Drosophila melanogaster: one gene and its partners. The protein of the gene in region 1 purifies or fractionates together with the protein of each later gene. This does not show direct contact. Each region holds a gene or a part of one and is shown in the gene's direction. Other genes may lie near its edges. The genes, in order: snz, Gel, bgm and Cyp4e2.

What was found.
Region 2: the proteins of snz (region 1) and Gel purify together in Drosophila melanogaster (affinity purification with mass spectrometry, with the first as the bait; one study listed by BioGRID). This does not show direct contact.
Region 3: the proteins of snz (region 1) and bgm purify together in Drosophila melanogaster (affinity purification with mass spectrometry, with the first as the bait; one study listed by BioGRID). This does not show direct contact.
Region 4: the proteins of snz (region 1) and Cyp4e2 purify together in Drosophila melanogaster (affinity purification with mass spectrometry, with the first as the bait; one study listed by BioGRID). This does not show direct contact.

The regions. Positions count from the first base shown.
Region 1 is NC_004354.4:7,909,623-7,918,315, forward strand, and holds the start of snz (snazarus), read left to right. Parts: upstream 1-2,466; 5' UTR 2,467-3,241; coding exon 3,242-3,357; intron 3,358-3,428; coding exon 3,429-3,568; intron 3,569-3,705; coding exon 3,706-3,802; intron 3,803-3,866; coding exon 3,867-4,178; intron 4,179-4,640; coding exon 4,641-4,813; intron 4,814-4,869; coding exon 4,870-5,276; intron 5,277-5,337; coding exon 5,338-6,075; intron 6,076-6,144; coding exon 6,145-6,324; intron 6,325-6,385; coding exon 6,386-6,523; intron 6,524-6,588; coding exon 6,589-7,272; intron 7,273-7,332; coding exon 7,333-7,701; 3' UTR 7,702-8,693. Other genes in the region: spidey, read left to right, coding at 256-302, 1,087-1,162, 1,231-1,571, 1,630-1,965.
Region 2 is NT_033777.3:4,233,212-4,241,970, forward strand, and holds Gel (gelsolin), read left to right. Parts: upstream 1-2,005; 5' UTR 2,006-2,113; exon of another isoform or gene 2,114-2,398; intron 2,399-2,458; exon of another isoform or gene 2,459-2,762; intron 2,763-2,876; 5' UTR 2,877-2,937; exon of another isoform or gene 2,938-3,070; intron 3,071-3,341; 5' UTR 3,342-3,552; coding exon 3,553-3,593; exon of another isoform or gene 3,594-3,728; intron 3,729-3,788; exon of another isoform or gene 3,789-3,994; coding exon of another isoform or gene 3,995-3,999; intron 4,000-4,413; coding exon 4,414-4,606; intron 4,607-5,091; coding exon 5,092-5,166; intron 5,167-5,358; coding exon 5,359-5,554; intron 5,555-5,607; coding exon 5,608-7,313; intron 7,314-7,377; coding exon 7,378-7,503; intron 7,504-7,666; coding exon 7,667-7,726; 3' UTR 7,727-7,846; downstream 7,847-8,759. Other genes in the region: abs (abstrakt), read left to right, coding at 1-1,777; CG14642 (uncharacterized protein), read right to left, coding at 8,058-8,487, 8,544-8,708. UniProt on the Drosophila melanogaster protein: Calcium-regulated, actin-modulating protein that binds to the plus (or barbed) ends of actin monomers or filaments, preventing monomer exchange (end-blocking or capping).
Region 3 is NT_033779.5:14,010,400-14,019,255, forward strand, and holds the start of bgm (bubblegum), read left to right. Parts: upstream 1-2,604; 5' UTR 2,605-2,739; intron 2,740-3,346; exon of another isoform or gene 3,347-3,518; intron 3,519-5,387; 5' UTR 5,388-5,396; coding exon 5,397-5,635; intron 5,636-5,732; coding exon 5,733-6,078; intron 6,079-6,138; coding exon 6,139-6,638; intron 6,639-7,635; coding exon 7,636-8,227; intron 8,228-8,286; coding exon 8,287-8,610; 3' UTR 8,611-8,856. UniProt on the Drosophila melanogaster protein: Mediates activation of long-chain fatty acids for both synthesis of cellular lipids, and degradation via beta-oxidation. Probably by regulating lipid storage and catabolism, plays a role in neuronal function.
Region 4 is NT_033778.4:8,442,430-8,448,066, forward strand, and holds Cyp4e2 (cytochrome P450 4e2), read left to right. Parts: upstream 1-2,130; 5' UTR 2,131-2,244; intron 2,245-2,281; exon of another isoform or gene 2,282-2,298; 5' UTR 2,299-2,341; coding exon 2,342-2,501; intron 2,502-2,552; exon of another isoform or gene 2,553-2,652; intron 2,653-2,928; coding exon 2,929-3,038; intron 3,039-3,104; coding exon 3,105-3,454; intron 3,455-3,512; coding exon 3,513-3,882; intron 3,883-3,942; coding exon 3,943-4,117; intron 4,118-4,177; coding exon 4,178-4,593; 3' UTR 4,594-4,735; downstream 4,736-5,637. Other genes in the region: Cyp4ad1 (cytochrome P450 4ad1), read right to left, coding at 158-323; Cyp4e1 (cytochrome P450 4e1), read left to right, coding at 5,074-5,233, 5,504-5,613. UniProt on the Drosophila melanogaster protein: May be involved in the metabolism of insect hormones and in the breakdown of synthetic insecticides.

The DNA.
Region 1 (8,693 bases):
GTTTGCTAAAGAAGTGTAGTTAAAAAGATTAAAGACCCTTTTACAATTAAATTGTGAAGAAAGGGAATTTCCAAATTGCAAACACTCTACTTTCAAGTTTTCCAATTTTGCATTAACTGCCTAAAGGAATACACTATATATCTTTCCAAAATGGAGTTCAGTACTTTTTTCACTGTGACCGATAAGATCGTTCCCCACGCCCCATAAATCCACTGATAACCCACAGAACTATTGGCTAACTTTTTCGACTTTCAGTTGTCACCGGGTCGACCGATGGAATTGGCAAGGCCTACGCCAAGGAGGTATGTACACAAAGATGACATGGAAGGGCTGCCCCAATCTTGACCAGCGCAAGCAAAGTCCGTCCAAGCTCGACCGATGATTATAGTAAAATGGGAAACGGGTCAAGCAAACAAACAAACAAAAAACGATAGTAATAATGAGCAATTAGTAATTACTAATTACCGAATTGAGTGTCGCCCACGATGACTTGGACATTGGTTTAGCGGTCGCCAATGCATTAGCCAAGTGAATCTGCACTTTGAAATCGATCTTCAGTCAACAGTCCAGTCGCAAACAGTCCCTAATAGTGTTTGCTTGACTGCAAATCGCTACATTTGTACTTTTCGTTATTTATTTTTACAAAGTGCAATCGCAGTTGATTTTTCTACCTTTTGTGGTAATTTTTTTTTTTTTTTGCCAGTTTTATTTTGTAATACACAGACTTGGAGCAAACGAAGCTAGAAGCTATAGGGAACACGTGTCCCCTGAATGGCAATTACTTTATAGAGTGGAGCACAGGGCCCCGATCGAAGCTTGTGCCAAATTAGCATTCGGCGTGCGTCGAACGCACAGAAAATGGTTCAATGTTCACACCCAATTTCTATTCATATACACGCTTAGTACACTTAAATGACTTCCTGTTCTTAAAATCTACGGGTTACTCGTCTTTGAAACTCCTGCTTTAGGTAGAAACGTTCAGTGTTCCCATTCCAAAGCACCATTGCTTTTTATCTCTGACCTAAGAATTTACTATCCAAAAGTACGTAAATATGAGCAGGCTAATAAATATTTAATCACTTTCAGTTGGCTCGCAGGGGCTTGAAACTGGTGCTGATTAGTAGATCCCTGGAGAAACTGAATGTGGTGGCCAAGGAGATAGGTAAGTCTGCTCACTAAAATACAGTTAACAACTTCAACTAACAACTGCTCTTTGCGGTCTACTTTCAGGCGATAAATACGGTGTGGAGGTGCGTGTGATCGATGTGGACTTCACCGGCGGTGACGAGATCTACGATAAGATCCGCGAAAAGACCACTGGCCTCAATGTCGGAGTGCTGGTCAACAACGTGGGCATCAGCTACGGCCATCCCGAGTACTTTCTGGACTGCTACAAAGCCGATCCCCCATTCCTGCGCAACATTGTGGCTGCCAATATCCACTCGGTGACGCACATGACCGCACTTTTTCTACCCGGCATGATTAGCCAGCGACGTGGTGTGATCATAAATGTATCGTCCACCGCCGGAGTCATTCCTAATCCGCTGCTGAGCGTGTACAGTTCCACCAAGGTGAGTGGATATCATCAGAAGTGATAGAAGGCTAATTACTAATACCTATAATTTGCAGGCCTTTGTGAACAAATTCAGTGATGACCTGCAGACGGAGTACAAGGAGCACGGCATCCTCATCCAGAGCGTCCAGCCGGGCTTTGTGGCCACAAATATGTCTAAGATCCGAAAGGCTAGCGTGTTTGCTCCCTCGCCGGAAACGTATGTCCGCTCGGCGCTGTCCACCCTGGGCATTGCCACCCAGACGGCGGGCTATCTGCCGCATGCTCTACTCCAGCTGGTCATCCACTTCACGGAGGCGGTGTTCGGCGAACAGTTCGCACGCAACATCGTTATGAAGAACATCCTGGGCACCCGGAAACGTGCCCTGCGCCGCCTGGCCAAGGAACAGTAGATTATTGAGGATGAATACGGCGGAGGAGGCATTTAATGGGAATCGGTTGGGATGATGAGTGGGTCAGTTGGGTTGTGGGGAAAATCCGGCTAGTCAAATAGCTTACGTAATTACCGCGTGTCATACGAATCCACAAACAGATAGCTTGAAATACCAAAAAAAAAAACATTTTTCCGAAATAAACTAAGTTTAGTTAGTTTTTGTCATTAATTAGCATTGAAGATTCGCAAACAGCCATGTCATGTAAACAATAAAAAATGTGTTACTAGATATATGTATATATCTAGTTTCCAATGATAAATAACGCCTTTTATTTGCAGTCCTTTATTTTGTATTTAACTTCTTATTTGTTCTTGCTAGCGATTTTTCTTTTTCCCTATGATTTTTCATGTTTTTCGGATCCAATTTGAATTTGAATTGGATGTGTCGATAACGGCAATAGCTATCGATTGGTCATCGATAGGCGCGCCCTTCGGCTAATCGGCGAGATGGGAATGACAGAAAGAGATACAACACTTCGCGCAGGGCGAAGAAGCAAAGCAAAGGGCAAAATTCATAAACATAACAGTAAAGATAGTGTATAGCCGGGCGTGAAATGTAATGAATCGGATTCATGACGTGACGTGTTATCAGGGCCAGCCCAATCCCAACTGCGCAGCAGCAGCGACAGCAACAACAATAACAACAACACATCAAGCTGAATCGAAGGAGCGTGTAATCAGTAATCAGAGTCGCTTGTTTTGATTTCCTTTCCTCGGAAACGAATCAACACGAAACGAGACGAGACGATTCGAAACGAAATGAAATCAAAACTCCGCTCCGGATAAAGCTGGTCAAACCAATCAACTTGTTGCGGATCCGCAGCGTCGCCCAGTATTGATTTGGCGCATATTGCCGACAGTTGTGGTTCCGATTTCGATTCCCAGCCAGCTGTCTCTCTGCCCATATATTTCAATATACGACGGACGCTTCTCCAAAAGCCGATACAATACTGTGCGATACCATATTTGTATTCGTTTCTCATTCGTTGACGGGCGAGGCGGTGGAGGCGGCGGTGGAGGTTAAGAAGAAGAAGGAGAGGTCGTCGACAACGGAGCAGTAGAAGAAGGAGGAGGTGGTGGACACCAGACCAAAGCGGAATTGACGCAATTGTTGAGAACTATTTTTAATGGTCAGCGGGTCGAAAATGTACAAAACTCATCAAATATTCAGAAGAAGTAGGCAATAAGGTGAGGAGGCAGTGATTCGGAAGTCCCGAATCGAAGTCAATCGGCCGATGGAATCAGAGGAGCACGCTGTGGACGCCATGGAGAATCGCCGTTTGCCACTGTTTCCCATCGAACCGGAGCCATCCGTAACGGCAACGCAACGCCTAACGCTCCTTGCCACCCGGTAAGTCCATACAAATAATGTCCAATCAAATACATATATTGGATACAGACTAGCCCTGAAATCCCTTACAGACTACTACGTGCATTGCAATTAAATTGGAGGATTATTGTTTCGGGCATCACGCTTACATTGCTGGCCGTCATCTGGTATTATCCCACCTTCTTTCTGTTCTTCGCCTTTGTGGTCTATTCCCTGGTCTTGGTTTTTGCGGGTAAGTCTTCCGCTTTCGTTCCAGGGCGTTTTCTAATGGAATGATGGCAAATGAGTCACCATATCGGGCGCAATCAGTTCCGAACGAGCGCCTAATTAAAAATGCCAAATATCTAATTGCCCTTATCTCGCCGACAGCTGTGGCGGGAACCGTCTATATCCATTATATATTCACCACCAACGAGCCGACGCCACCAAGTCGCGTGCCCTCGCGATTGCTCTACAATGCCACCAAGTGAGTAGCGGACTTTGTTCTATATGATATATATGTATATATCTCTATCTCCATTGACCCGCAGAAGCAACATCTTCGATCTACCCAAGCCCATCAAGAATCCATCGAATTTGCCCCTGATTTTCGGCAAAACAGTGGACCTGCAGCTCCAGCAGATCATTGAATATGTGCTGCGCGATTTTATGCTGCCCTGGTTGGGCTACGTGGTCACCAAGCCCAAGCTGATCAACGATGTGGTGCGCGAAGATCTGTGGAACGCGATACAGAAGATCCATGAGCGCGCCCTCAGAATGGACGCCGCCAAGATCATAGCCGTGGACATGGTCAACCGGGTGACAGTGCATCTGGAGAAGATTCGCATCGCTGAGGCCAGAGCGTAAGTACTTCACTTTAACCTGGCTTAGTATCCACAAAATTAAACTTTTTAAATAAATAGATATATATTAGTAATGAACAGAGTAGGTCAAAAACCTTTCCAGATAAGTAATGTATAGCAAAGATATCGGATTAATCCAATACATTTTTTTGATTGCGCTCAAACAAAGAAATGCATAGAGGATGATTGTGATTGGATATAAAAGATACAATGTGCAATTCGACTCTTTGTTTAATACCTTTACTCTCTAATGCTTTGGGCCACAATAAGTTGTTGTTTATCTTTGCGTGAAAAAATGCAGTGAACAGAATTAAATGTAATTTATATGCCTCAGAGAATGGCCATCAATCCCAAATCATTAAATTGGTAATCAATAAGCAGAAAGGCAACAGCTGCGATTACTTTGCATTCCATTGTTCAACGATTCAGATCTATAATAAATATATGTATTCCTCTTTTTAGAGCTGAAACCAACACGCCGCCAGTTTTTAGTACAAACTCGTACCTCGCCGACGAGGAGAAGGAGATGGAGTTCCTGCGCAAGCTTTGCGAGATTATGGTGATCCTGCTGCTGCCACGCGGTTATTCCCTGCCCCCATTGAAGGTCTTGCTCAGCGAGATTCTCTCCTACAAGAGTAAGAACCATTGCCGCTTAATAAACGACACGTTTTACTTAGTATCCTGTCCGCAGTTTTCTTTCCGATGATCAAAATGCTGACAGCACCGGACTACATCAACCAGAAGGTGGTCCAAAACATTGAAACTCGCTTGGCAGCGGCGGCCATGAGCAAGAGAAGCTACGAGTATGCAGCCAGCTTCGAGGATTTCCTCAAAATCATCAACAACTCGGGCAACCTCGAGGAGCTCTCGCTCATCCGCAAGAGCATAGTAAACGATCTGATGCATGCTACTACCATGCAGAATCTACAGCGTGCCAAAGGCCTCGATCCGGATCACGAGGACCACTCGCTCTCCAAGTCGGAGCTCACAGCCGCCGTCCGACTGAAGCGCTACGTACGCCAACTCACAATGGCCAAGGGCGAGTGCGAGAAGAATCTGGCCAAGTTCGGCTGGAATGGCAATTACTCGAGTGATATTGTAATTAAACTTTAGCATTCCCCATATCCACAACACTGATAAACTCAATTATTATTTGCAGGACCTAACACTGGTCGAGATCCTAAACACTGCGGTTGGCCGGCGCTACTTCACCCTGTTCCTGGAGCCGCTGAAGGCTAGCGCTCTGATTGGTTTCTACCTGGCCGTGGAGGAGATCAAGCACGCGCACAAGTCGGCCAGCCATCAGCTGGGCACGGAGATCTTTTACACCTACATCAGAGTGCCCAAGTCAGAGATCCAGATTGACAAGCACGAACGCAAACTGATCGAGACGTTCCTGCTGGGAGATGCCGAGCCTGACATCTTCTATGACATCCAGCGCAATGTACTACGCACGCTGGAGGAAAAGTACTATCCGCCATTTGTGCTCAGCGATCAATATCGTCAGTTGAAGGAGGCATTGGACTCCAATGAGATTGCAGATCCCACGCTGCTAATGTGTCACACCATTGGCGATGTACAGGAGCCGCTGGCGGATGAGCAACCGGGCGCGGCGGATGGACTAAATGGCGGAGCTGGTGGTGCCATCGATGTGGCCGCCCACACATCCTATGCACGACGAAAATTGGAACAAATACAGGAACGGATTGATAAAAAGAATCAGGCGCTGGACGCCCTCAAATATTCCGTGAAGCCGGAGTCCAAGGTGCTGACCATTCTCGAAAAGGAGATGGAGTGGCTGAAGAGCGAGAAGCGACAGACAGAGGCGCATTTGCGTCGCACGGACGCCTGGACAGAGCATCTGGGCAAGTGGAAGGCTACCATCCAAAGTGTAGAGGTCAGTGCTCCATCCCTGAGTGATTTTATCAGCCATCTTCAATTTTTTTTTTTTTTTTGCATCTTTTAGGTCTCCGATGAGAAAGAGTCCTTGCAGTTTATGATCTTGGTTCATGTGGACGAGGATATTAATGCCCCAGTACAACCGACTTCATCCAAAAACGGTGACAGCGGCCATGCCAATCTACGTAAGCGACCGTCGGGCATTTCCAGTGGTTGGGTAGTAATGCGCTCCCTTAATCAAGTCCATGTGTGTATTCCCTTTAAGATTCTATAGATCACTCTCACTAACATTTTGGTTATTTGTGAAGGAACTACAACGGAAGCTGAGACACGTGAGCTCTAACCTGAAGGCCATCGACCTGCCTACGAACTTTAAGTTCTTTTTTCTGAAAACAGATCGTCATGGTCAGGAAAAGGCCAAGTCACAGATTCAGAAGTTCTTGAATGTAAGTTTAATTTTTTCTTTTACACCATAGATAAGTTTGTGATTCCATACTTTTTGGCCACTTAGTTTATCCTGGAGGACGATCATTTGAATGGCAGCGAGGCCATCTACACGTTTCTTAGCCCAAGTTCCGACCACCTGAAACAATCGCTGCCCTCGCCAAAGAAGTCCAAATTCTCGCTATCTACGCTATTCCGCAGCGATGCTGGCAAAGCTCACGAGGCCAGCAAGGCAACCGATCCGTTTTGGGGTCTGCAGCGCGATGACGAGGATATATCTACCTATTTAGACGGCGAGTCCGGCGGTGAGGCTAAAATGCTAGCAGCGGATCTGGATAGCAAGGATTCGATAGCAGAACCGATGTACGCTCTAATGGGCGAAATCTTTGACATGGGCGGAGTTTTCAAGTGGTTGCGTAAGAGTCTCATCTCGTTTGTGCAGATCACATACGGCCGTACGATCAATCGACAGATCCGCGAATCGGTGGCCTATCTCTTTGAGGAGTCTATGCTGCACAACTACTTTTCGGCCATCCTCAAGTCATTTTGGCCAGGCGGAGTTCTTGCCTCCGCCTATCCGACGCGATCGGAGGATATGCGCGAAATGACCACCACGGCGGCCAAGGCCCTGCTCACCGATCACATACCGGAGGTACTGTGCAACCTGGTCGGTGCACAGGCTGCCAAACGGGGTGTCCTTAAGGTTTTCGATGCCCTGCAGAATCCCGCCTACAACAAGCAGCTATTCTACGTGAGTAGTGGTTTCAGTGGTCATATAGCCAAATATACAATTGGTATCTCTAATCTTCAGGAGCTGCTGGAGATACTTATGATTGAGTTCTTTCCTGAAATCCGACAATTGCGCGTCAGCAACTCCAATGGAACCAAGTTAAATACGGCTACTGCTGGAGCGGCAGCTGCATCCGCCGCTGCGGCACTGGTGGCTGCCACGGCATCAGCTTCGCTGCCCTCGCTTAATCATAGTGGTGGGGGTCACAGTGCATCCACGGGGGGTCACCAAAACCATCAGGGATCCTCGTCGGCCAGCGGATCCTCAGCTGGCGCGAGTGGCGCCACCGGTGGTGGTGCCGCCTCGCACCACCAATCGCATTACCACCACGGATCCCACCACCACCAGCAGCAGCAGCACCACCATTCGCAAGCGGGCAGTTCGAAGTGAAGTGAACTTAAGAAGAACCACTTCGTTTTAGATTTTACTTTAACCTAAACCCTTTTTTTTATTTATGTTATGTTTTGTTTGATTTTATGTTCAATGTTTAATGCTCTCCCTCTTTCTAACCGGTGGATATTGTTGATTTAGCCGAGGAAAGGGATTACAAAGAATAGTTATGTAGAACACAACACAACTCAGTAGTACCAGTATCATTCCCTGTACAAATGCAGACTTACAATCCATATGAATTCAGTTCTTGTTGATTCGTTCGTCCATCACTTCCTGTAGCCAGATTTGTTTGTTATGTGTATATGTCTGTACATAGGTCAGTATTAAGCGTTGTACCAAATCGTTGTTTATATACTCGTATAGTAAATTGTGACACTCAGTTTGGATTGATTTTAATTATAGTTTAGTAGCAGATATTGAGCCCAAAGTTGCGTCTGCAGCTGGCGTTGAGTCGGTGCTTGTGATTCCCATGCCGCGCCAGCTGTAGATCCATCCTCCCCCCAAAAATATTATAGAAACACAACAGGTGAGATTAGTTTGAGGCAAGCTAATGGGCGTCCAGAACAGTGCGTTCCATGGCCATAAAGCAACTTCCGTATTGACACACATTGTATTCTTTTTCGAATTTGTATTAAAATGATTCAATTGTTGCACATCGATAACCATCAATTAAAAATTGTATTTGAAATTTCCTAATTGACCAAAATTGGTAATGGTATCAAATAATCTTAAAGACTAAGCGTTGATTGAGGCTGTCTTAAAAAACAGAACGTTTGATAACACAATAAAACAGTCGCAAGTCAGGACTTTAAAGAAGCATTAATCCTTAAGCATTTGTGGTTATCCAAATGCATTTTGATACCATGTTAAAACACACAACTCGAAATTACAACATTTAGAATTGACCCAAAATCAGTTTTGTGGACCTGAAACGCCCCGTAGACACCCACCCACCACCACCACGACCCAAAGACACCGGCACCTTCTGT
Region 2 (8,759 bases), on another chromosome or scaffold:
ACCGGTGAAGGAGCGGAAGAAGCAGCACATGATAAAGCTGGGCAGGATCGTGCAACTGGTTTCGGAAACGGCCCAGCCCAAGTCGTCAAGCGAGAATGAGAATGAAGACGACTCGCAGGGTGCGCACGATGTCGAGACCTGGGGACGCAAGTACAACATTAGTCTGCTGGACCAGCACACAGAACTGAAGAAAATTGCCGAGGCCAAAAAGTTGAGTGCCGTCGAAAAGCAGCTGCGAGAGGAGGAAAAGATTATGGAGAGCATTGCTCAGCAGAAGGCCCTTATGGGTGTGGCAGAGTTGGCGAAGGGGATTCAGTACGAGCAGCCTATTAAAACAGCTTGGAAACCGCCGCGTTACATTCGGGAAATGTCGGAGGAAGAGCGCGAGGCCGTTCGCCACGAGTTGAGGATCCTAGTGGAGGGAGAAACCCCCAGCCCGCCAATTCGCAGCTTCCGGGAAATGAAGTTCCCTAAAGGTATACTTAACGGCTTAGCGGCCAAAGGCATTAAGAACCCGACCCCAATCCAAGTGCAAGGCCTGCCCACTGTACTAGCCGGCCGCGACCTAATTGGAATAGCCTTCACTGGGTCTGGAAAAACGCTTGTCTTCGTGCTGCCAGTCATCATGTTTGCCCTGGAACAGGAGTATAGTCTGCCTTTTGAGCGTAACGAGGGCCCCTACGGCCTGATCATTTGCCCGTCCCGCGAACTGGCCAAGCAAACACACGAGATAATTCAACACTACAGCAAGCACCTCCAGGCATGCGGAATGCCTGAGATTCGTTCCTGCCTGGCCATGGGTGGTTTGCCGGTCAGCGAGGCCCTTGACGTCATCTCACGCGGCGTACATATTGTGGTGGCGACCCCTGGTCGTCTAATGGATATGCTGGACAAGAAGATCCTTACGCTGGACATGTGCCGGTACTTGTGCATGGACGAGGCTGACCGCATGATTGACATGGGATTTGAAGAGGACGTTCGTACGATATTCTCTTTCTTCAAAGGCCAGCGACAGACACTTTTATTCTCTGCCACCATGCCAAAAAAGATCCAGAACTTTGCTCGATCAGCTCTCGTGAAGCCTGTCACAATAAATGTGGGTCGCGCAGGTGCTGCGTCAATGAACGTCACCCAACAGGTTGAGTACGTTAAGCAAGAGGCAAAGGTGGTATATTTGCTGGACTGCCTACAGAAGACCGCGCCGCCCGTGCTCATTTTTGCTGAGAAGAAGCAGGATGTAGACTGCATACATGAGTATCTGCTGTTGAAAGGCGTGGAGGCGGTGGCTATTCACGGCGGAAAGGATCAGGAAGAACGATCGCGGGCAGTCGATGCTTACCGCGTGGGCAAAAAAGATGTGCTGGTGGCCACCGACGTGGCATCGAAGGGCCTGGACTTCCCTAACGTGCAACACGTTATTAACTACGACATGCCGGACGATATTGAAAACTATGTGCATCGTATTGGCCGCACAGGTCGTTCCAACACTAAGGGATTGGCTACGACGCTGATAAACAAGACTACCGAGCAGTCGGTTCTGCTCGACCTGAAGCACCTGCTAATCGAGGGCAAGCAAGAGGTCCCGGACTTCTTGGACGAACTGGCACCTGAGACCGAACACCAGCACCTGGACCTGGGTGACTCGCATGGCTGCACCTACTGTGGTGGTCTGGGCCATCGCATCACGGAGTGCCCAAAACTTGAGGCTGTTCAGAACAAGCAAGCTTCAAACATAGGACGTCGCGACTACCTATCTAACACCGCTGCGGATTACTAAACCACTACCACCACCAAATTAAAATAGTAATAAATAGATTAGTATACATACATACTTTTCTGGGAACTTTTAAATTTATTTTCACTCTGTTTTAAGTTCAGTTTGCTGCTTATCGCACGAAGCTTTGCTTATCAATCGTCCCAGCAACCCCAGAGAGCGATCTCGGCCGGACGCGCGCGCGTTTCGGGCTTAAGAAAAATATTATAAAAGCGAAGACGAGCTTTGGCTTTCGTTTAGTGTCTGAGGCAGAGCTCTGCATGCTTGTCGTTCGAAGCGCTTTTATTCAATCATCGCACTGGGATCGTGAGAAATTGCGCAGATCGTATTGACTTACAAGTAAGTGTGCCCCAAAAATTAAATGATGTTTTATCAGCAATATGTAATAACATCGCCCAGAATAGTAGGTTACTCTAGTATAAAGTAAAATTCAGACTAGCCTAAATGATTTCAATTGAAGGCTGATTATATAGACATTAACAACTTTCAAAGCTATTATTTTGCTGAGTTCATTTCGTTAAATTGGTCGTTGATTTGTCTTATCTACTGCTTTGAAAACAATCATCGGAACTGAGGTCGGTTTTATATTAGATAAGCCACTAGCTTTTTACCAAGCTGTGTGTTCTTGAAAAAATAAATTCATAACACTGTATAATATGATCAAATTAAATTGATGGTACCTACAAAATTTGGTTAATTTATCTCCGTTAAATTATCCCCAACTTCATTGGCATTTGGATTGGATTTGAATAATTGGATACACATTTGAATGTTTAAATGTTACCCATGCGCGCGGTTTGTCCAAGAATCCGTTTGTATGATTTTGGCACTGGAAAATGGGTAACTGCCTTTATCCAACCAATTCAAGCTGGTCCAACTTATGGCCGGCTTCGGAATATTATTCCGAACATGCTGTGGCCCATCACTTTCATTTCAAATAGGTATCATTTCGAAGTACGTATGACGTACTCCTGACTGGCTCCCAAGCCTTTACAAATTGGAACTAATGTGCTTGCCGACATAATTTAAAAATCTTATATGATTCCATCCCATACTGAGTTCTCAATAAAAACTGATTTCTTTTTTTTTGGCTGTGACCCAGTTGCAAGGAAGGGCCAAATGGGCTTGCCGCTTGACGAAAACAGTCGTGATCTCATACGCAGGTGAAACTAATTAACTGAATGACAATATGCGATTACACGCTTGCGGCACTTTTTTTTTGCTCTCCTTAACATTATGCTCTGATCAAGCAGCGCACTCGAGATACAAACATGATATCATACAAGAGAGGAGCTGGTGAGCAGAACAACTTTTCGGGAAATATTAAGTATCATTTAGCATTCTACAACTCACATTTAAGAAATCCATCAGGAAGTTTAGCTTAAACGAGTTTGGGGAAGCTCTTATTGTTGAAGACAATTATTATTATTTAAAGACGTTGTTTTCTGGGTGGCTGTATATAACATACGCGTACTTGTTGGCGGTTAAACATCAGTGCTCAGCGATTCGTTCGAAAATATTAACATCTTTCCTTCTCTTATTGCCCTGATGATTCTCTTACTTGCAGTTTCCACACACTCTGCTTAAATCTGGAAGAGCAACTGCCGCTGTTTGAACTAGAAACCAACGCTACGACAAAAATAAAGGCCAATACAAAAGATCGCGTACCCAAACACATCGGGCATATACGCTATTTGCGACTCACAGATACTTATCGCAACAATAAACAAAGCTCCTCGGAACCCTCGGTCGTCGACCAGAGAAGAGGCAGACTCGAAATGGATGCCTCCGGCGCCGCCACAATGGCAGTCCTCTCCAGGTAATGCAAGCGAGCAGTTCGCTGTCCAGAAAGCTCTGGGGTGATAAGTACTCAGTTCCTGAATTTTAACAAAACTTTAGCAGTCGTACGCGACATCGCTAACACCAATTCGAGAAAACAGCCGTTTCAAATAGAGTAAGTGCGTAAAAGTGGCTGCGGTGTGATTCAACACCCGACTTTTGTGTTCATTTCTAGGTTTCGCCAGGTTTGCCCCATGTGGCAGTTGTGGTGTGCCTAGTTTGTGGCCTTTTATGGTCATGACTCACATATAAACAGTCGGATGTACTATTTAGGTGTATCTAGTTTAATTGCGCTGAGAGAGAGCACAATTTCATGTCTTGAACACCCTACAGAGCGGTGTATCAGTTGGAGTTGCGCGTAATTGTGAATAGAGTGCCTGAATGTTGTAAGCCATATCCACCTATTGTCCTTTTTCCCTGAAACCTGTATTATCCAAAAGAAAAGTCGCTTTCGTGTAGCAGACTGAAATCTTTCTGGTTCAAAAAATATAGTTTCGGTTGTGTTTACTAAAGAACTATCGAAGAAAACACCTGTTTAATATCAAATTTTGTGATACCCTACCTGCATTGCAAAGAAGACTTTTCGGAACGCATCATTTGGATAGAATAAAAACTGATAAACTATTTTGCGTCGGGCTGAGAAACGGACGTGGCTATAACAACTTGTTGGTGATACTAATCAAGAGAAAACCCTCATAGACTCGCAAGAGTCCTTTAGTGGAATATATATTTTTTTAGAGTAGTTCTGTTATCTTTGGTCAATTAAGCTGCCATAATAGCTTTTTGCTTGTCTCTTTCAGCCTGCTTGTGTTTTTGGCCCTCTCGTCCAGTCTGTGCTCAGCCGGCACCCTCAACGCCCGTCCTGCGTTTCCCGTACAATCCGGCGAAATTCAGCCCAGCGGCCAGAACAGCAAGCAGGCAGCCAGACGCGTGATGCATCCTTCCTTCGCCAACGCCGGCCGTACTCCCGGCCTGGAAATCTGGCGCATCGAGGTGAGTCAGATTTTGGGATTTAGTTGTTCTCTTGCCGGGTACGGGGAATAGAATAAATAAGCGTAAGTAAGGAGCAGATCGCGCTGACATCGATGGGATAGGTGCGGTGCTTATGCAGTGGCACCCAGAAGGCTGGGAGAGAAGGGTACGAAGGCGGAGGGATGGCGCCCGATACGCGCCAGCTCGAGATCGGCAGACATTTGCTTCTATTCTGGAATTCGGGCAGTGTGGCGGCCATGTGTTTATAAATATACATACATAATGTATCTTTCCCGAGAAGATATATGGAAATTGCTTGTATACATTAGACGTCTGATCCTTCTTGTTAATTAACTCCAACATCGGCCAAATTTATTAGGTTCGAGATGCGATGCGTTTGTGTACAATCAGGCGATGACCAGAATAAATGTTTATACCAAACAGTCAGACATTTTTGGAAATTATCTTCTCTGGAAATCAGGTAATAGTTTTTTTTATCTTTTCAGAATTTTGAGCCCGTTATATATCCCAAAACTAACTACGGCAAATTTTACACTGGGGACTCGTTTATTGTTCTTAATGTAAGTATGCATTTGAATTGTTAAAGTTTTAATTAAACGCGTGGAGTGAACTGCTTGGTTAGCAACTGGAAGGTTTTAACCTTGTCAAAGTCATGTAAAAAGGCATCTGTGCTTAGCTTAGTAATAAACTTTACATTTTTCTGCAATACCTCACATAAACTTTTCCAAAATCGAATCATTATGTTCATTTAGACAATTGAAAACAAGAAAGACAAAAAACTGTCTTGGGATGTGCACTTCTGGCTGGGATTGGAGACCTCGACCGATGAGGCCGGAGCTGCAGCTATTCTCACCGTCCAGTTGGATGACTTGCTGAATGGTGGCCCTGTTCAACATCGCGAGGTGCAGGACCACGAGTCCCAGCTGTTTCTGAGCTATTTCAAAAACGGTAAAAGTAGTCAAACCGATTTGGACGTTTCATTAAACTGAATGTTGTTGTAGGCATTCGCTATGAACAGGGCGGCGTCGGAACTGGCTTCAAGCATGTAGAGACAAACGCCCAAGGAGAAACACGACTATTCCAGGTCAAGGGCAAGCGAAACGTGCGCGTCCGACAGGTGAATCTTTCCGTGTCGTCGATGAACACGGGTGATTGCTTTATTTTGGATGCCGGCAGCGATATATATGTCTACGTAGGCTCCCAGGCCAAGCGCGTTGAGAAGCTAAAGGCTATCAGCGCTGCAAACCAGATCAGGGACCAGGATCATAACGGACGAGCCCGTGTTCAGATCGTCGACGACTTCAGCACTGATGCCGATAAGCAGCACTTCTTCGACGTGCTGGGATCGGGCTCTGCTGACCAGGTGCCCGATGAGTCAACTGCTGACGAAGATAGTGCCTTCGAGAGGACAGATGCCGCAGCGGTTTCTCTCTACAAGGTCAGCGACGCCAGCGGCAAGCTGAAGGTGGACATCATTGGACAAAAACCACTCACTCAGGCTATGCTCGACACTCGCGAGTGCTTTATTTTGGATACTGGATCTGGCATTTTTGTGTGGGTCGGAAAAGGCGCCACTCAGAAGGAGAAGACGGACGCCATGGCCAAGGCGCAGGAGTTCCTACGCACCAAGAAGTACCCGGCCTGGACCCAAATTCACCGCATCGTAGAGGGCTCCGAGTCCGCCCCATTTAAGCAGTACTTTGACACCTGGCGTGATGCTGGAATGTCCCATAGTCGCCTTATTCGCTCGGCTCTGGGTATCGGCTCCGATGAATTATTAAACGATGACGAAATCGACTCCGTGGTGACTCAGCTAAAGAAGAGCGGTGGTCGTGCCTTTGGGTTCATGCCGGATCACGGTCAGAACGTTATTGAAACCATCACACAGTACGTTGCAAAGCCTGGTTCCGATGAGATCGTGGTCAGCACCGTTCCCTTCGATGAGAAACTTCCTCTTTTGGGATTTGCCTCTTATGTGCTCACTTACAACTACGAGGCTAACAACGGGGACACTGGTTCTCTAACCTATGTGTGGCATGGAGTAAAGGCCTCTGCTGCCGCTAGGAAACGTGCTTTTGAGGAGGGTCTAGTAGGTTCCAAGGATGGTCTTCTTGTCCAGACCAATCAGGGCCACGAGCCGCGCCACTTCTACAAGATATTTAAGGGGAAGTTATTAACATCCTTTACTGCACTTCCGGTGACGGCGCAGCTTTTCCGCATTCGCGGCACCGTCGAAAGTGATGTTCATGCTAGTGAGGTGGCCGCCGACAGCTCATCTTTGGCCTCAAGTGATGCCTTCGTCCTTCATTCGGGAAAGTCCCACAAAATCTACATTTGGAATGGCTTGGGCGCATCTGCCTTCGAAAAACAAGCAGCGGTTGATCGCTTTTCTGACTACTGGGACGACGTTGAGCTCGAGCAGGTGGAGGAGGGTGCCGAGCCAGATGAGTTCTGGGAGGAATTAAACGGCGAAGGCCAGTACGACCGCAGCTTGGGTGACGATGGAGCTCCACTGCTGGAGTCGCGCCTTTTCCACTGTCATCTGAGCTCTGGTGGATTTTTGAAGGTTGAAGAAGTTGCTCAATACGAGCAAGAGGACTTGGACTCGGACGACATAATGCTACTGGATGCTGGCGATGAGATCTACCTTTGGGTTGGCTATGGCGTGTCTGAGGAGGAAAATGGGAAGCTTCTGGACACGGCAAAGGTTTTCTCGTTTCCCACCATCGCTTTCTATCACGTCTAATTATACGTCTTTTCTTGATTTACAGCTTTACTTTAATTTAGAGCCTACCGCCCGCTCCTTCGACACGGTGAGCATCATTCGCGTCCCCCAGGGCAAGGAACCAAGGGTTTTCAAACGCATGTTCCCCAACTGGGACGATAATTATTGGCAGGTACGTGATCCAAACCAGACCTAGAGTTTGTCTTCGTTTAACTGCTTGCTTGTACAGTAAGCTGATTACTAATGCTGATGGCCTATTCTCTTAATTGTAAAGTCGCTACACAATAGATTTATATAATTTCTATGTATTTTTAACCCTTTTCTTGGTCTCGTAGAACCAGCCCAGCTATGAAGACATGAAGCAACTTGTTATTGATGCCAACAATGAAGTCTAAAACCAATGATTCAATTCTCAGCAAAATTTACCAAAAAATATGTTTGTTTTTGCCTTTCTAACACCTATGTTTATCTAATATAACTTTAAAATAAATTTCAATATGGCCACTGTTTAGCACAATTTATTTTTACAATTCACTAGTGTAATGTTGTAGCAATGTATTTAAATATCTCCTGTGAAAATAGTTGTTGGGCTAGATTGGTCCATATACATACACACAGATGCCATAGGAAGAATCGAAATATAAATGGAAAGAATATACCATTTCTTTTAATATATATTTTGGCTTAAATTTCATCAACATCATACAAACCTGATGTAGGCATCTGTCAGGCCCAAACAGTAAGTTCGATCCAGTCCAAGAAAGAAGACACTCTGGTGTAAACTGATGGGTAACTACTGCGGCAGAACACGCCGTATGAGGTGATGCCAATTAGGTGATAGTGTATTCTATGCCCTCGGCGCCGACCCGGCAAATTCAGTTGTAGGGGTCCACCCGAGTCCCCCTGGCAAGTGTCTCTGTTGAGAATGTAGTCCTGGGCGCAGATCTGGCTTTCCAGAACTCCACTGGGAGTTTCAGCAAGAGGCGGCAGCTCGGCGTTGCACTCAGCGTTCGGCACTACGGTCAGGTTAAGATTTGTGAGGCGGTTCGTCATGGGCTTGGCGAAGCTCGTTGCGCCGTACCCCATTGCGAAGGCTATCGTAGTGGGCAGCTCTGGAAAGACCCACAGGCGGACAGGTCTAACGTATTCCGTCAGTCTTAGAGAATCGTGTTAGCAAACAGCGGTCGCACTTCTGTCTTGTTGGGTACCCACTCCACTTCCTTCTCCAGCTTAAGTAGGGCTATGTCGTCATAGTACATCTTTTTTTTGTAATTTGGGTGCGCGAACACTTGCTCAATCCGAAGCAGCTGGGCCTCCACCGACCGCTTCTCGGAGGCCAGGTCAAGGTCCCCGATGCGAACCCACTTGGGGGGCGCCCTAAGAGGAAAATTACAGTCACGGGACTGGGGGTCAGGGGGCTAACTGGCA
Region 3 (8,856 bases), on another chromosome or scaffold:
ATACATACGTTGAAGCCTTGTTGTTAAATTGAAACAGCCAGCTCCGTTGGCCAAAGACAGCCGTTGCGGATTTGGTCGGTCAATTTGAGGAAAGCAATGATTTTTTAAGCCACCAATTGAACTAAAAATAAAAAAGAGTTACAAATAAAAAAGCGAGTTCCTCAAAGGTTCTACCGAGATTTGAACTCGGATCGCTGGATTCAGAGTCCAAAGTGCTAACCATTACACCATAGAACCAGGTGAAAGTCCAACGAAAATTGGCACACTTGAAATCGGTGATCTTACAAGAGAATGAAAGAGCTTTTATACCGCTAAATCTATAGAAATTTAGTCTTATAATAGATAGTTATAGTTATATAAGGTAAAAGCAATCTAATTATTAATTTGTTACGAATTAGAAAACTATTTTTATTATTAGATATTTACATATATATTCTATACATGTAATGTAATATGTATTTATATCTTTAATATTAGCAAAATGACATATTTAAATAGCGATATATTTGAAAATTTTCACTGCAAGCTCTGGATAATAACTTAATCGTAGTTTTTGCCTTCTAAATTTCCTTAGACTTCCTTTGTTTGGTTTTTTTTTTTTTTGTGCCGGGGGGCGTGTCAGGTCAATTATGTGCAGTTCACTTTCGTTTGTCTGGCGTTGTTTGTGATCCTGTCTCTTTGTTGCTGCTGTCGCACAATTAGCCAGAGTTAATTAGCCAAACACTTGTAATGCTAACCCAACCATTTCAGCCCTTCGCCACTCGAAGGACTCATTCCAATGGACAGGACTTGTTTAAATGTGCGGACACGTTCATTGCTCTGCTTACCTCTTGCTTAAATGGACTTAAGCGTTATTTTTAAATAACCCCCTTAATCTGCAATATACATATATGTACATATGTACATATATGTTTGAAGGGAAACTCCCCTTTTGAGACACCCATTCCATTACCAACGTTATTATCACATCATTTGCATGTATTTAGTTAGTAGAGGGGGGTGGGGGGTTGAATGGACGTAAATAAGTAGAGCTTCGTAACTTAATTCGTTGCCAACTTTGACGATGACAATCTCATTAACATGACATCGAAATCAGAGCTCATCGGATTATGTTGCCATATTGTTGCGCATAAAATCCGAGGGACAGTTCAATGATAGATGCTCGCTTTATGCTCGTCTGTTGTCAGAATAAATGGCGATAGTCAATCGAATTACCATTGCAGCAGATTTAACTTTAGATTTCATTTGCTTTCTACTGCGAGGAAAAGATATTTTATTTTACATACGTTTTACACAAGTGGGAAAAGCTCTGTAAAGTTTTCCGCAGGTTCCGAACTTGGCTAAACAGTAAAGCTTATGCAGCTTGCAAAGCTTGTAAAGCTTGCACAGTCTGTTCAAAAAGTAAGCAGCCAACTGCAAGCATGAATTTTAATCACAAATTTAATTTTAGTTTAGAAATTTTATAAATTGAGCTGCTGCAGAATTATAAATAAAATGATTAAATATCTTTTAAACTTATAACATGGCTTAAAGAGCTTAAATGTTGAATTGCCTGCTAAAATTTGTTTAGATTTTGTTTTTCACTTTGTCATCTTGTGGCATAATAATTCAGTTATCAATCTGAGGAAGTGAGGTGACCCACAGGTGAGCTGGAGCCACGCGAATTTGCGCACACGCTCTGCTTGGCTGATAACCAACCGAGAAGAATCGACTCGCACATAGGGGATGCTTTTTAAAAATAATTCATAAGTATTATCGCCTAATGCGTTAGCTTGTTCTCGATAAGGCTGCACTCAAGATCAAATGTTTTAAATACAATCTATATTGTATGTATGTACATACATACGTACATCATAGAGAACTGCAAGTGGCGATTAGTTGGAAGAGATTCGAGTGTAGATAATAGTCGCACAATCCCATTGACATTTTAATCGGGGAGATCCTAGCTAACTGTGATTTATACGAACCGGGAGCTATACTATCTAATCGTTTGCAGATAACCGTCGATTTCATGGGATAATCAGCGTTGTATTAGAACCGTGACCAAACAACCATATGAAATTCAGGCAAAGTTGAACCATTGGATGGATGGAACTATGTACATACATATTTCCACGGATGTGGCATAAATTTAAAAGGGAATTGCCGCTTTATATATAGTATATATTGTATTTGTGGCAGCAGTTAAATGGTCAAGTGTACCCGTGTTTATCAGATCATAAACCGTTTTCCAGCTTGTGTCGTTCGATAAGAGCTATAACAATACCCCAAAATGCCACCCCAAATGGTAAAGAACCATCAACCCCATTGGCAACAGTCGAAATCGATACGAGAATCTCTCTATTGTTTATATAGCCGTAATATTTGCCGCTGACGCGTTACCAATATCAGCCTTTATTAAACCCTTGAATAATTCACTAAATATTTGGTTAATTTCTGTGAATCACTGAGCTATTATAATCTGGCTATTCACGGCTTATGGTTCTGCATCTGCTGTTTTTCTCTTCTTTTTTTTTTTTAATTAATTTACTTATACTACTTATCTTTTTTACTTTCCCGGAATGTCAGCTATCTGCCACCTCCCACCACTAAAATAAAAGAGCTTGACTTGGCAAATTTTCAGCAGTCTATATTTGATTGAACACCTGTTTGGTTTGAAAATTTTGTTTATAGCCAAGCCCATTTGTGATAAGCATTCAAAAGGATCTCAACGGAGAATATTTCAAAATGGTAGCACAGGTAAATACAACATTTGTTTTAATTCAATGTTCAAATGCCGTCTGAAGTCTGAAGGTTATTGAAATTCAACGATGGGAATTTCAGAATATTATTTTAATGCGTAATTGCTAATCAGTTATCAGTTGTGTCGCTACAAAAGGGTATTTGTTTAAAAATATTATAAAAAATACATAAAATATGTTATAGAGCCTTGCTAAGTTAGGAAAATAATTGCCTCAGTAATTAAACTATAAACAATAACTAGAAGATATGCTAGTTTTCTACGCTATTTTTAAGTACCACCACTTATAGAAAATGATCCCCTATGAGATCGCGTTACTACTGATAGGATTACGAGATTGGTGTTATTACACATCCATTGCAAGATTCCCACCACGCCCCACTGATAAGTTTTAATTGCCCGTTCGATAAGAAGAGATGTGCTGTTCTATTCACACTCGAAAGGGTGGAGGAGAGGGAGCAAGCACGCCGATCGCATGCTGCTGATAAGAGGGTATCAGTACCAGGTAGCACCCATATCGATGCCGATGCCAACGCAGACGCTGGCAGAGCGATCGGTTGCCCCGCCGGCAGAGGCTTCTCTATAGCATCCGATCCTGAACGGCGTTCAGTTCACGCTTTGCCTTCGCTGAATTCGGTCGTGTTTGCTGTCGTGGTTCTCGAGCGAAAGAAAGAGTGGGAGTATAGAAAATAGACGGCAATCGATTTGCGTGACCAAAGAACAAATATATACATACATATATCGAGAACGCCGTAGAAACACCAAACTAGTTAATTATGTAAGTTTGCCAGCGAGAAAACAGTAGGCAAAGTAGATTGAACAATTGAAATTTATTTTGATTGGATAGTTGTTGTTGCCACTTCCGGGCAACACGTGCGCTCGCATTGTCTAAATCTAATTTGTGGGTCAGTGCACTTTTTCGGCGGGTTCATTGTCATCATCGCCCGATTTCGCACTGTTTTCAATTCGCCGCACGAACTTCCCAATTTCTTTTTCACCTTGCCATCTCCATCCATCCATCCATCCATCCATCGATCGAGCCTCTTTTACATCACGCTCGTTCGTGCTGGATTTTCGCTTCTCCCATTTTCGGCTCACTCTCTTTCATCTATCTCCCTTTAACTTTCGAAATGTCTTTCGTTGGGAGAGCGAAAGCACCGATTGAATATAGTTGTCAAATATTTTTAGATGCTGTGCGCCCCCCATTATCAGTTTTGTTTTTACCCCACTTTTCTGTGTGTCGCGAAATATTTCGAGTACGTTTGGCTTAAATTCGATTTCCATTCCAATCTTTCTTATCGACAGGCCGGTTTTTGTAGTTCCCTCCACGTTAGATTCCCGTTCAGCTCATTTTGGATCACAAGAACAAATGGCAAACAACATTCTTAACGCTATTAGAAGTTGATAAATAAAGCGGGCTTTCCGCTTTGGTAGTAGTAGTTCTCTTCATTGGGTATCAAAAGTAGCTTGGTTTGTATAACGCTAGACTACGAGTTTAGTTGGTAGCAAAAATCTACTGACTCATTTTCATGCCCCGAATGCGTGCGCCGCCACTTTAAGTACTTTGAATTATTATCAGCAGCAGACACTGCTATTTATTTGCCATTTATGATTTATGATTTTCAAGCAAACTATGCTAATGTCTTTGGTACCTCCCATATTTGTCAAAAACAAAGAAAAAAGTGTGGAAGACGCACTTCCATTAACCTGATAATGCGTTGCCCTCGGCTCTTTCCGTTTGAATCAATTCAAAACTTAAAGCACAATTTAACTGTCAATTATCTGCGCGATGTCTATGCCAATCAATCTGAAATCGGTAAAATCATCGCAAATTTCCCGTTTATCTAATAATTATACTTTTGCCTCATGTCATAGAAGGTAATTTATTTGCTGACCCTTTGGACTCAGCTGACTATTATGTCAGCTGTTGGGTTCCTTCATTCTTGATTTGATATCAATGCTTAGTTGACCAGAATTTATTGATTAATAAAAAACGAAAAGCTGCAAGTTAAACAAGCAAGCATTATTGTAGATATCAAGAATTACGATTCTTGGCCTTTGCACCGCGAAAATAAAACTCATTCAAAGAACTTACCATTGCGTTGAATAGCCACAACTTCTCACTTACCTCGAATTTGATAAGCGACTGCGCCTGATAAGTTATTATAGCATAAAATGCGAAATAGTAGTTGGTAATTGTGATAAGCCAATCGTGGTGTTTTCTACGGCCCAGACAAACTCATTCAACATATCTCCTCATGCTTTTCGTCTTTTCCTACAAATATTTTTCCCACCTTGACATTGGTTGTTACCACCTTATACCTTATAATCAGGTGCCAAATTATACGCGTACGATAAGAAAAAACTTTTCACGGAAGCCTTGACATAGGCCAACTGGAGTGTGCGTCTTATCTTGGTTGGCCAAAACAGAAAATATTTGGACGTACTTTAGTCATAGATCGTATGATTCTATTCGACAAGGCAATTTCCATAATTTTTGATTAATCATCGTGATAATTTCAAAGTTGATCTTCAGCGAATTTGAAAAGGATAAACACTAACAATAGGAATAATCGTAGTGCAGCTTTAATTACTTCAGTTAAATCACTTCAAATTAAAGTAATTGATTTCCAATCCGCATTAACAGCCTTGCAACATGTCCACGATAGACGCGCTCTACAATCGTCCTGGGCCCAACCGCCTGCGGCAGGCGGATGCCTATCGCACCACCAATCGTCAGGATGCCGTCAAGATTCGTATGGCCAAGGATGGAATCGGCGCAGAGGAGCCCATCTCCGTGCCCGGCCTGCTGAAGCGTACGGTCAACAATTATGGCGACTATCCTGCGCTGCGCACCAAGAACGGCAAGAACGGATATCACACTGTCACCTACAAGTGAGTACCACCGCTAATCGAATTGCTGGCCAATTGCCAATTTGCGCGCGATTCACTTAACCGCTAACCGAATTATTTTGCCTGCCATCATCCGCAGACAATATGAGCAGAAGGTGCACCAGGTGGCCAAGGCGTTCATTAAGCTCGGTCTGGAGGAGCACCATTCGGTGGGTGTGCTGGCCTTCAATTGCGCCGAATGGTTCTACTCGGCCATGGGCGCCATTCACGCACGAGGCATCATCGCCGGAATCTACACCACCAATTCCGCCGATGCAGTGCAGCACGTTCTGGAGAGCTCACATGCCCAAATCGTGGTCGTCGACGACGCCAAGCAAATGGACAAGATTCACGCCATTCGCGACAAGCTGCCCAAGCTCAAGGCCGCCATTCAGATCCAGGAGCCCTATTCCCCCTACTTGAAGAAGGAGGATGGCTACTACAGGGTGAGTGAGGAACCCTAAAAAGTCTAGGATATATCTAATTTTGTAACTCATCATCCTCAGTGGTCGGAGATCGAGTCGATGAACGTTAGCGACGTGGAGGATCAGTACATGACCCGTTTGGAGAATGTGGCGATCAACGAGTGCTGCTGCCTGGTCTACACCTCCGGAACGGTGGGCATGCCCAAGGGCGTGATGCTCTCCCACGACAACATCACCTTCGATGTGCGCGGCATCGTCAAGGCCATGGACCGTGTGGTGGTTGGGGCGGAGTCGATCGTCTCCTACCTGCCACTTTCGCACGTGGCCGCCCAGACCGTGGACATTTACACCTGCGCCTTTGTGGCGGGCTGCATTTGGTTCGCCGACAAGGATGCGCTGAAGGGAACGCTGGTGAAGTCGTTGCAGGATGCGCGACCCACGCGATTCATGGGCGTGCCGCGTGTGTACGAGAAGTTCCAGGAGCGAATGGTCGCCGTGGCCAGCTCCAGCGGCAGCCTGAAGAAGATGCTCGCCAGCTGGGCCAAGGGCATCACGCTGAAGCACTACATGGTGAGTCAAGGGTAAGTATTCCCCCGATGAGGCCTCTCTTCTTTAAATACTTCAACTTCGACTTTGTGTGCGCATAAATTATGTAAAAAGGATGCACAGTTAAAGTGGCTGCAACGACAGAATTCCACTCGCAAACTCCCATTCCCTGCATTTTACATGGTTCACCCAGCTTTTCGGCCAGCTTCCTGGCCAAGGAAGCCATTGAGGGCCATTAATCATTATATTGAAAAAAGCGCCTTTTAAAAGGAAAAGAAAAATACTAGAAAACAAATTGGTTTAGCTGGTTTAGTTTAGTGTGCTCGTAAAAATTGTTACTTCACTTGGCAACATTTTTTTTTTTTCTGTGTACATGTGTGCCGAGTTTCGGTGTCCGCTAAATTATGCAAGCCAAGCGGGCCGACAGCGCTTCTTAAAGCGAAAATCACTGACAACAACATTACTCATACGTCACGTGGAACAGCTCCCGCTGCTGTTGCTGCTGCTCCTGCTGCTGGTGGTATGTACCAGAAAATAGAAAATGCACGAGGAACAGGACCACGACTAGGAGCAGAGCCAGGACACGCCATGCGGGCACGTCCTCTTAAGTAAAAGCGGGTGAATGGAGAGAACTTCAAGGGAGAAGTGTAGAACTAATAGGGAGTTTCGTTTAAGTGCAGATACTTTTGCAGTGACTGGAGCATTGGGAAACCCAGCAGGCGGTCCAAAATCAAGCGAAAATTAAAAGTAATTGAGGGAAATTTAAAACGAAAGCTTTCGCAATTTTACAAACTATTTATTAATAACTAATAGAATTTATTGCTGACAGAAAATAGTTAGACGAATTCGAACGACTAATTGGCATCATGCTATTGCAGGTGCATTTTGTAATCCTTTGTTTATTGATGTGCGACTAATTCGCAAACACCACACATTCCATTACACATACCCACAATAGCTAACCCCAAACCTTGAACAAAAACTCATCAGGCAACAAAGCTAATTAAACTTTTTGAACACAACTTCTCGCAGCAAGAGCTCCGGGGGATTCCGGTACAAGATTGCCAAGTCGCTCATCATGTCCAAGGTGAAGCAGGCCCTGGGCTTCGATCGCGTCCTTACACTGGCCAGTGCGGCAGCTCCCATGTCGCCGGAGACGAAGAAGTACTTCCTCAGTCTGGACCTAAAGATTGTCGATGCCTTCGGCATGTCAGAAACGGCCGGTTGTCACACCATCTGCCTTCCCGATTCCGTGGGTCTGAACACAATCGGCAAAACTTTGCCCGGCTGCGAGTCCAAGTTCATCAACAAGGATGCCAACGGTCACGGAGAGCTGTGCATCCGAGGACGTCACGTTTTCATGGGCTACATCGACAACAAGGAGAAGACCGAGGAGTCGCTGGATGACGACTGCTGGCTGCATTCCGGTGATTTGGGATTTGTGGATGACAAGGGTTATGTTTCACTGACGGGACGATCCAAGGAGATCATCATTACCGCCGGCGGCGAGAACATACCGCCAGTGCACATCGAGAACACGATCAAGAAGGAGCTGGATGCCATTTCCAATGCCTTTTTGGTGGGCGAGCAGCGCAAATATCTCACTGTTCTGATCACCCTAAAGGTGAGTCTTCAATCGAATCCAATTGGTTGGAAAGTATTTAATTGTTTTTTGATTTCCAGACCGAAGTGGACAAGGATTCCGGTGAGCCGCTGGACGAGCTTAGCCACGAGTCCTCCGTGTGGGTGAAATCGCTGGGAGTGGAGCACAAGACCGTATCGGATATCCTGGCCGCAGGTCCCTGCCCCAAGGTGTGGAAGTCCATCGAGGATGCCATTAAGCGGGCCAACAAGCAGTCCATTTCCAATGCCCAAAAGGTTCAGAAGTTCACCATTCTGCCGCACGACTTCTCCATTCCCACCGGCGAACTTGGACCCACCCTAAAGGTTAAGCGCAACGTTGTGTCCAAGATGTATGCCGATGAGATCGAGAAACTATATGCCTAGATTTCTCACTGCAAGATCGAAACCGATGATAGCCGCGGAACTTGAGCTTTAATGTGAATTTGAATTTAACGGACTTCCAAGCCAATTGAGTGCCACTTTTAATTTGATTTAGGCTGATGTTAACTGTTGGATATTAAACTAAGAACAACTATGGCCCTATGCCTAGGTAGACACGAGCTTGCCAACGATTAGGTCCAGAGATCATTTAATTAGTAACTAAGTTTTATTTTTTATATACTATTTGGT
Region 4 (5,637 bases), on another chromosome or scaffold:
TCCAAATGTGCAACTCGATACCACCGGAAAATGAACGCATTGAATCGCTGCAAAATTCCCAGGTGATTGCGGCGGGCTGATTCGGTCAGAGCCACGATTTTGGCATTAAACGTTGAAGAGTTCATAAATATAGGCAGGCTATTTGGTCAGTACTCACCGGCTGGCTTGAGACCGAACTGGAACAGATTACCCACGAAGGGGTATGGCGTGGGTCCTGGGATCATCTCCATGATGCCAGCCATGTGGTCTATGTAGTTGAATATCCTCACTCCCTTGAACACCAAAATGGTGGCCAAAATAATGGCAATGGCTATTAGAAACATGATGCCGCCCAACTGTTCTCGCTCGCAATGCCGCACAGACTGTGGTTTGCCGTAACATTCGCAGATTAGTCGGTGACCAATTTTCGCCCGATTATGCCTTCGATAGCTTATCTGAACTTTATGCATTTTATTTTTTGTTTGTTGCTTGCAATCGATGTACTATTAACATAGTACTTTATTGCCGTCGGTAATTGATAAATATAACTATTGTGGACTACCTAGTGGGAATTGACTCACTAAACTGATGACGTGTAGGTCTAAAGGCCTTTTGGTATCGCCAGAAGATTTGGGGCCAATAAACGATTGTTAGTCGCTTCGTGATAATGAATTAGGGCGGTAGCCATAATTTTTGACACGCAATAATTATTAATAGGGACACTTTTGATTGAGGGATTAACAACGGCACGATAAGCTGTTTGTTCAACATAGTAAACACAAAATAGATAACTTTTGGAAAAGCAATCAAATTGAAAAGGTGTGTGGTAAAAAGATTGATATTAACAACTAAATACATATAAATTTAAAAAAAAATTTGATTGGTGTTTATATTTATATTTATACTTACCAGACGATCATGACTTTTCAATTTATTAATGCATTTAAAAAAATTTTAATATTAATAAGGAATTTTAATAGCTACACAGCATTGAATTTTAAAACGAATAAGTTTAAATAGTTTTTTTTTTTCAAAATAGGACAAAAAATTAAGAATTACCATATACATAAGTATAAACATTTCTTAAGTTCGTACAACTACAGAACTTATCATTTAATTGTGTATATATATATGTACATATAGCAGTCGCATTCGCACACACTCCTAGTGCGATTAGTCACTAGGTGGAATGCCGTCCAAAGTAATTTATTTGCTTTAGCAAATATAAATATAACATATATATATATAATGTAATTATACATAACAGCGTTTTCTTGAAAAATATATAGCATTGTGCTGATAACGGAAGAACAACGAACAGAATAATGCCGCTTTTTAACATTTTCTTCTCTTCCACTAGATTTATCTTCAAAGCTATTCATTTTGATGTAAATTCACAAATTAACTCGTTTCCGAAAGCATATTTTTACGAAAGAATGCATTTCCCATATGCTTTTATAATGCTTTTATCATACTACAAGTCATGATGCAGAGACAATGTAAAAAATTGGATTTCTTTTAAAACGTTTTTCGTGTTTGGCTTAAGTTCGAATTTTGCAGCGAGAATATAAAGTATATATATTCTTGATCAGTATCATGTTTTATTGACTGATATTATATCGATATAGCCATGTGCGTCTCTCAGTTCTAAAACTATCTCTATAAAACTCTTCCAAAAAGATTGCTTCTATTTACATATGTAACTCAAAACGTGACGGAGCGGAACAGAATAATCGAAAAATAAACGCACACTGTGCTGATATCATTTCTTAAATGTAAATGTAAATTTAAATTTGCAGTGGATTTTACCTTACGTCTGTGATTTCTACCAAATTTAAGTCTTGCTGCTGATAAGCTAAGAAGAGCAAGCGACTTTCTCTCTCTTCTCTTCAATTTCTGTAAGAGTAATCTTAAAAACATTTTGCAAACATAATGTGTTCATCAATTCTCCCGATTTCTCTTTCTTGTTGTGAGCGAATGTTTATCAACGTTTTGTTTTATTCCATTTTTTGCTGCCATAAAACAATATATACTGGATACAGTTTTAAAAAAAGTTAACTGTTACACATTTAAGCGCAGTCTCGAAAACTATTGGTTCTCCATCTCATCTAACGATTAATCAGGGGGCTCATCTTAAAAAACCTGATATTGATTCGGCAAGTCATGCTGAAAGCACCAAAATATATACTTATATTCGGGAGACTACAGTTGGATTAGGAAAACGGCAGATAAGGGAGCAAGCGACTGGGGAGCTGGCTGATATTGGTATCTCTCGTATTTAAACCGCCCGCCGGCCCAAATAAGCTCTCATATTTCCAGTGATTCGCGGGCTGGACGGTTGTCGTGGAACTCGCGATCGAAAATGTGGTTCGTGTTGTATATTTTTCTGGCCCTACCACTGCTGCTGGTTGCATATCTGGAGTTGAGCACATTCCGCCGGAGAAGAGTGCTTAACAAGTTCAACGGCCCCCGCGGCCTGCCGCTGATGGGAAACGCTCATCAAATGGGCAAGAATCCGTCAGGTGGGTTTTTCATAGGAGCCGGAAAAGTCGTAGCGTTAGCCACGCAGAGGACACACCTGAAATTACCCATCTCGAATAGCGTTGTGACTGAGGTAACTGCGCATCGAATCTACTCAGCGGCGAGGCTATTCAAGTAAGGTTATTTTGGGCCAGCGACTTTACGACCGGAAAACAAGGGTGTTAACTATCAGATAATGGGGCTACTGGCACTTGTAGAAATGGGCTAATCGTAGCCTAGGTCGAGTATCGCAAAAATAATGACGAGGCTTTGATTTGTGTTGTGTAATATACGATGTATGTATGTATGTATTATACTGCACTAATGAATACTGAAAATCGCGTGCCAAAAACAAGCAATGATTATCTACGGAATACCGATATTGGTACGCGATCCGCCTACTAATGGCATTTTCTCACGTCTATATAGAAATACTCGACACGGTTTTCTCCTGGTGGCATCAGTATGGAAAAGACAACTTCGTCTTTTGGATTGGAACGTATTCTAATGTATTGGTCACCAGCTCCAAGTACCTTGAAGTGAGTTACAGCGAATTTCCACCAATCATGTAATCATGTGACTCTATTATTTTCGTACTTCTTCAGTTCATACTCAGCAGTCAGACGCTGATCACAAAGTCCGACATTTATCAACTAACACACCCTTGGCTGGGATTAGGTCTCCTCACCAGTACTGGCAGCAAATGGCATAAACACCGCAAGATGATCACCCCAGCATTCCACTTCAACATCCTGCAGGACTTCCACGAGGTGATGAACGAGAACTCCACCAAGTTTATCAAGCACTTAAAGACAGTTGCTGCCGGGGACAATATATTCGACTTCCAAGAACAGGCCCACTATTTGACCCTGGATGTCATTTGCGACACAGCGATGGGTGTGTCCATCAATGCCATGGAAAACCGCAGCTCTTCCATTGTGCAGGCCTTCAAAGAGTTAGTTTCGTACCTCGTAGTCGAACTATCAGATTGCATGACTCTTGATCCTTTTCAGCATGTGCTACAACATCAACATGAGAGCCTTCCACCCGCTGAAGCGCAATGAACTGCTGTATCGTTTGGCTCCGGACTACCCGGCCTATAGCAGGACTCTAAAAACACTGCAGGACTTTACCAACGAGATCATCGCTAAGCGCATTGAAGCCCACAAATCGGGTGCAGTTTCGACCAACGCGGGAGATGAGTTCACTCGCAAGAAAATGGCCTTTTTAGACACTCTGCTGTCCTCCACTATTGATGGTCGTCCCCTGAACTCCAAGGAACTGTACGAAGAGGTCTCCACATTTATGTTTGAAGGACATGATACTACCACTTCTGGAGTGTCGTTCGCTGTCTATTTGCTTTCTAGACATCAAGATGAACAGGTTCAGTACATTGCTTGAGACGCCAAATCTTTAAATGACTAACTTCCCTTGCTATTATAGCGCAAACTATTTAAGGAGCAACGCGAAGTAATGGGTAATTCCGAACTGGGTCGCGATGCCACCTTCCAGGAAATATCCCAAATGAAGTACTTGGATCTCTTTATCAAGGAGGCCCAGCGTGTTTATCCCAGCGTGCCTTTCATTGGACGATTTACGGAGAAAGACTATGTTATAGGTAACCATTAATTAAAGCAATTTAAAGAGCTTTACATAACAGTACCATACTTGCTTATAGATGGGGATCTCGTACCCAAGGGCACCACACTGAACCTGGGTCTCGTGATGCTGGGTTATAACGAAAAGGTGTTCAAAGATCCCCACAAGTTCCGACCTGAGCGCTTTGAGCTGGAGAAACCAGGACCTTTTGAGTATGTACCCTTCAGCGCTGGACCCCGAAACTGCATTGGTCAGAAGTTCGCCCTGCTGGAGATTAAGACTGTGGTATCCAAGATCATTAGGAACTTCGAGGTGCTTCCTGCTCTGGATGAGCTCGTCTCTAAGGATGGCTATATAAGCACCACTATTGGACTCCCTGATGCCGAGAGGAAGAAGCGCGATCCATACCGTCACAAATACGACCCTATTCTTTCCGCTGTGCTGACCCTGAAATCCGAAAATGGTCTATACATTCGGCTGAAGGAAAGGCACTAAAATGTCAATTTATTGATCTCTGTTAAGTTTGGTGCTTTAATTTTGCATACCTGTGTTTTTTTAGGTATGCCGTCCCCACAGATACAATTATTAGGAAGCTGTTAATCACTTTGTCTCATACAACACATAAAACTTTTGAAACAAATCAACTCGTTTTAATCTTTGAACCATTGAGACTATGTTAATTAGCTTAAAAAATTTGAAATTATAGTTTCCACACGTGTAAGCCATTTTCAAGAGAAATGTTCATCAAGAAACTTAGTCGCAGCATATAGAAGGTCATGCTGAGTGCCCATATATTAGTTTAAAATTTGGGAGATAGTCATAGGCTGCTTCTTATGTGTGGATGTATATCCAAGCGCGAGAGACTGAGAACTGTCTGCCGCAACCGGTTGAAGTACTGACGCAGAGAGTCTTGAGGTTTCTACTCAAATCCGATTTACTCGCTGCACCGATCGGTTGTCTGTGGTCGCATTCAAAATGTGGATCGTACTGTGCGCTTTTCTTGCCCTTCCACTGTTCTTGGTGACCTATTTCGAGCTTGGACTACTGCGGCGAAAGCGAATGCTGAACAAATTCCAAGGCCCAAGTATGCTGCCTTTGGTGGGCAATGCTCATCAGATGGGAAACACTCCCACAGGTAGGTGCTCCATCTAGACAATCTCAATGTGTGGGATCAAAGTCCCCTCTAGATAACATCGCTCGATAGGTGTGACTGATCACATAACAGTTGTGTACGAATGATAACACTGAGACTAAATATACTAAAGGTCACTGCAGTACCGATCAATGGGATTAACTTAACAAATCTTCGTCAGGGAATTCATCCGTCGTTTTTTGCTGTATTAAAGACTATGGCTTCTATCTAATTGTAGAGCAAGTAATGATATGTTTTAACTTTGCTCTCCAGAGATTTTGAACCGGTTTTTTGGCTGGTGGCATGAGTACGGCAAGGATAACTTTCGTTATTGGATAGGTTACTACTCCAATATTATGGTCACTAATCCCAAATACATGGAGGTGAGTGTGACATGTTAATAACGC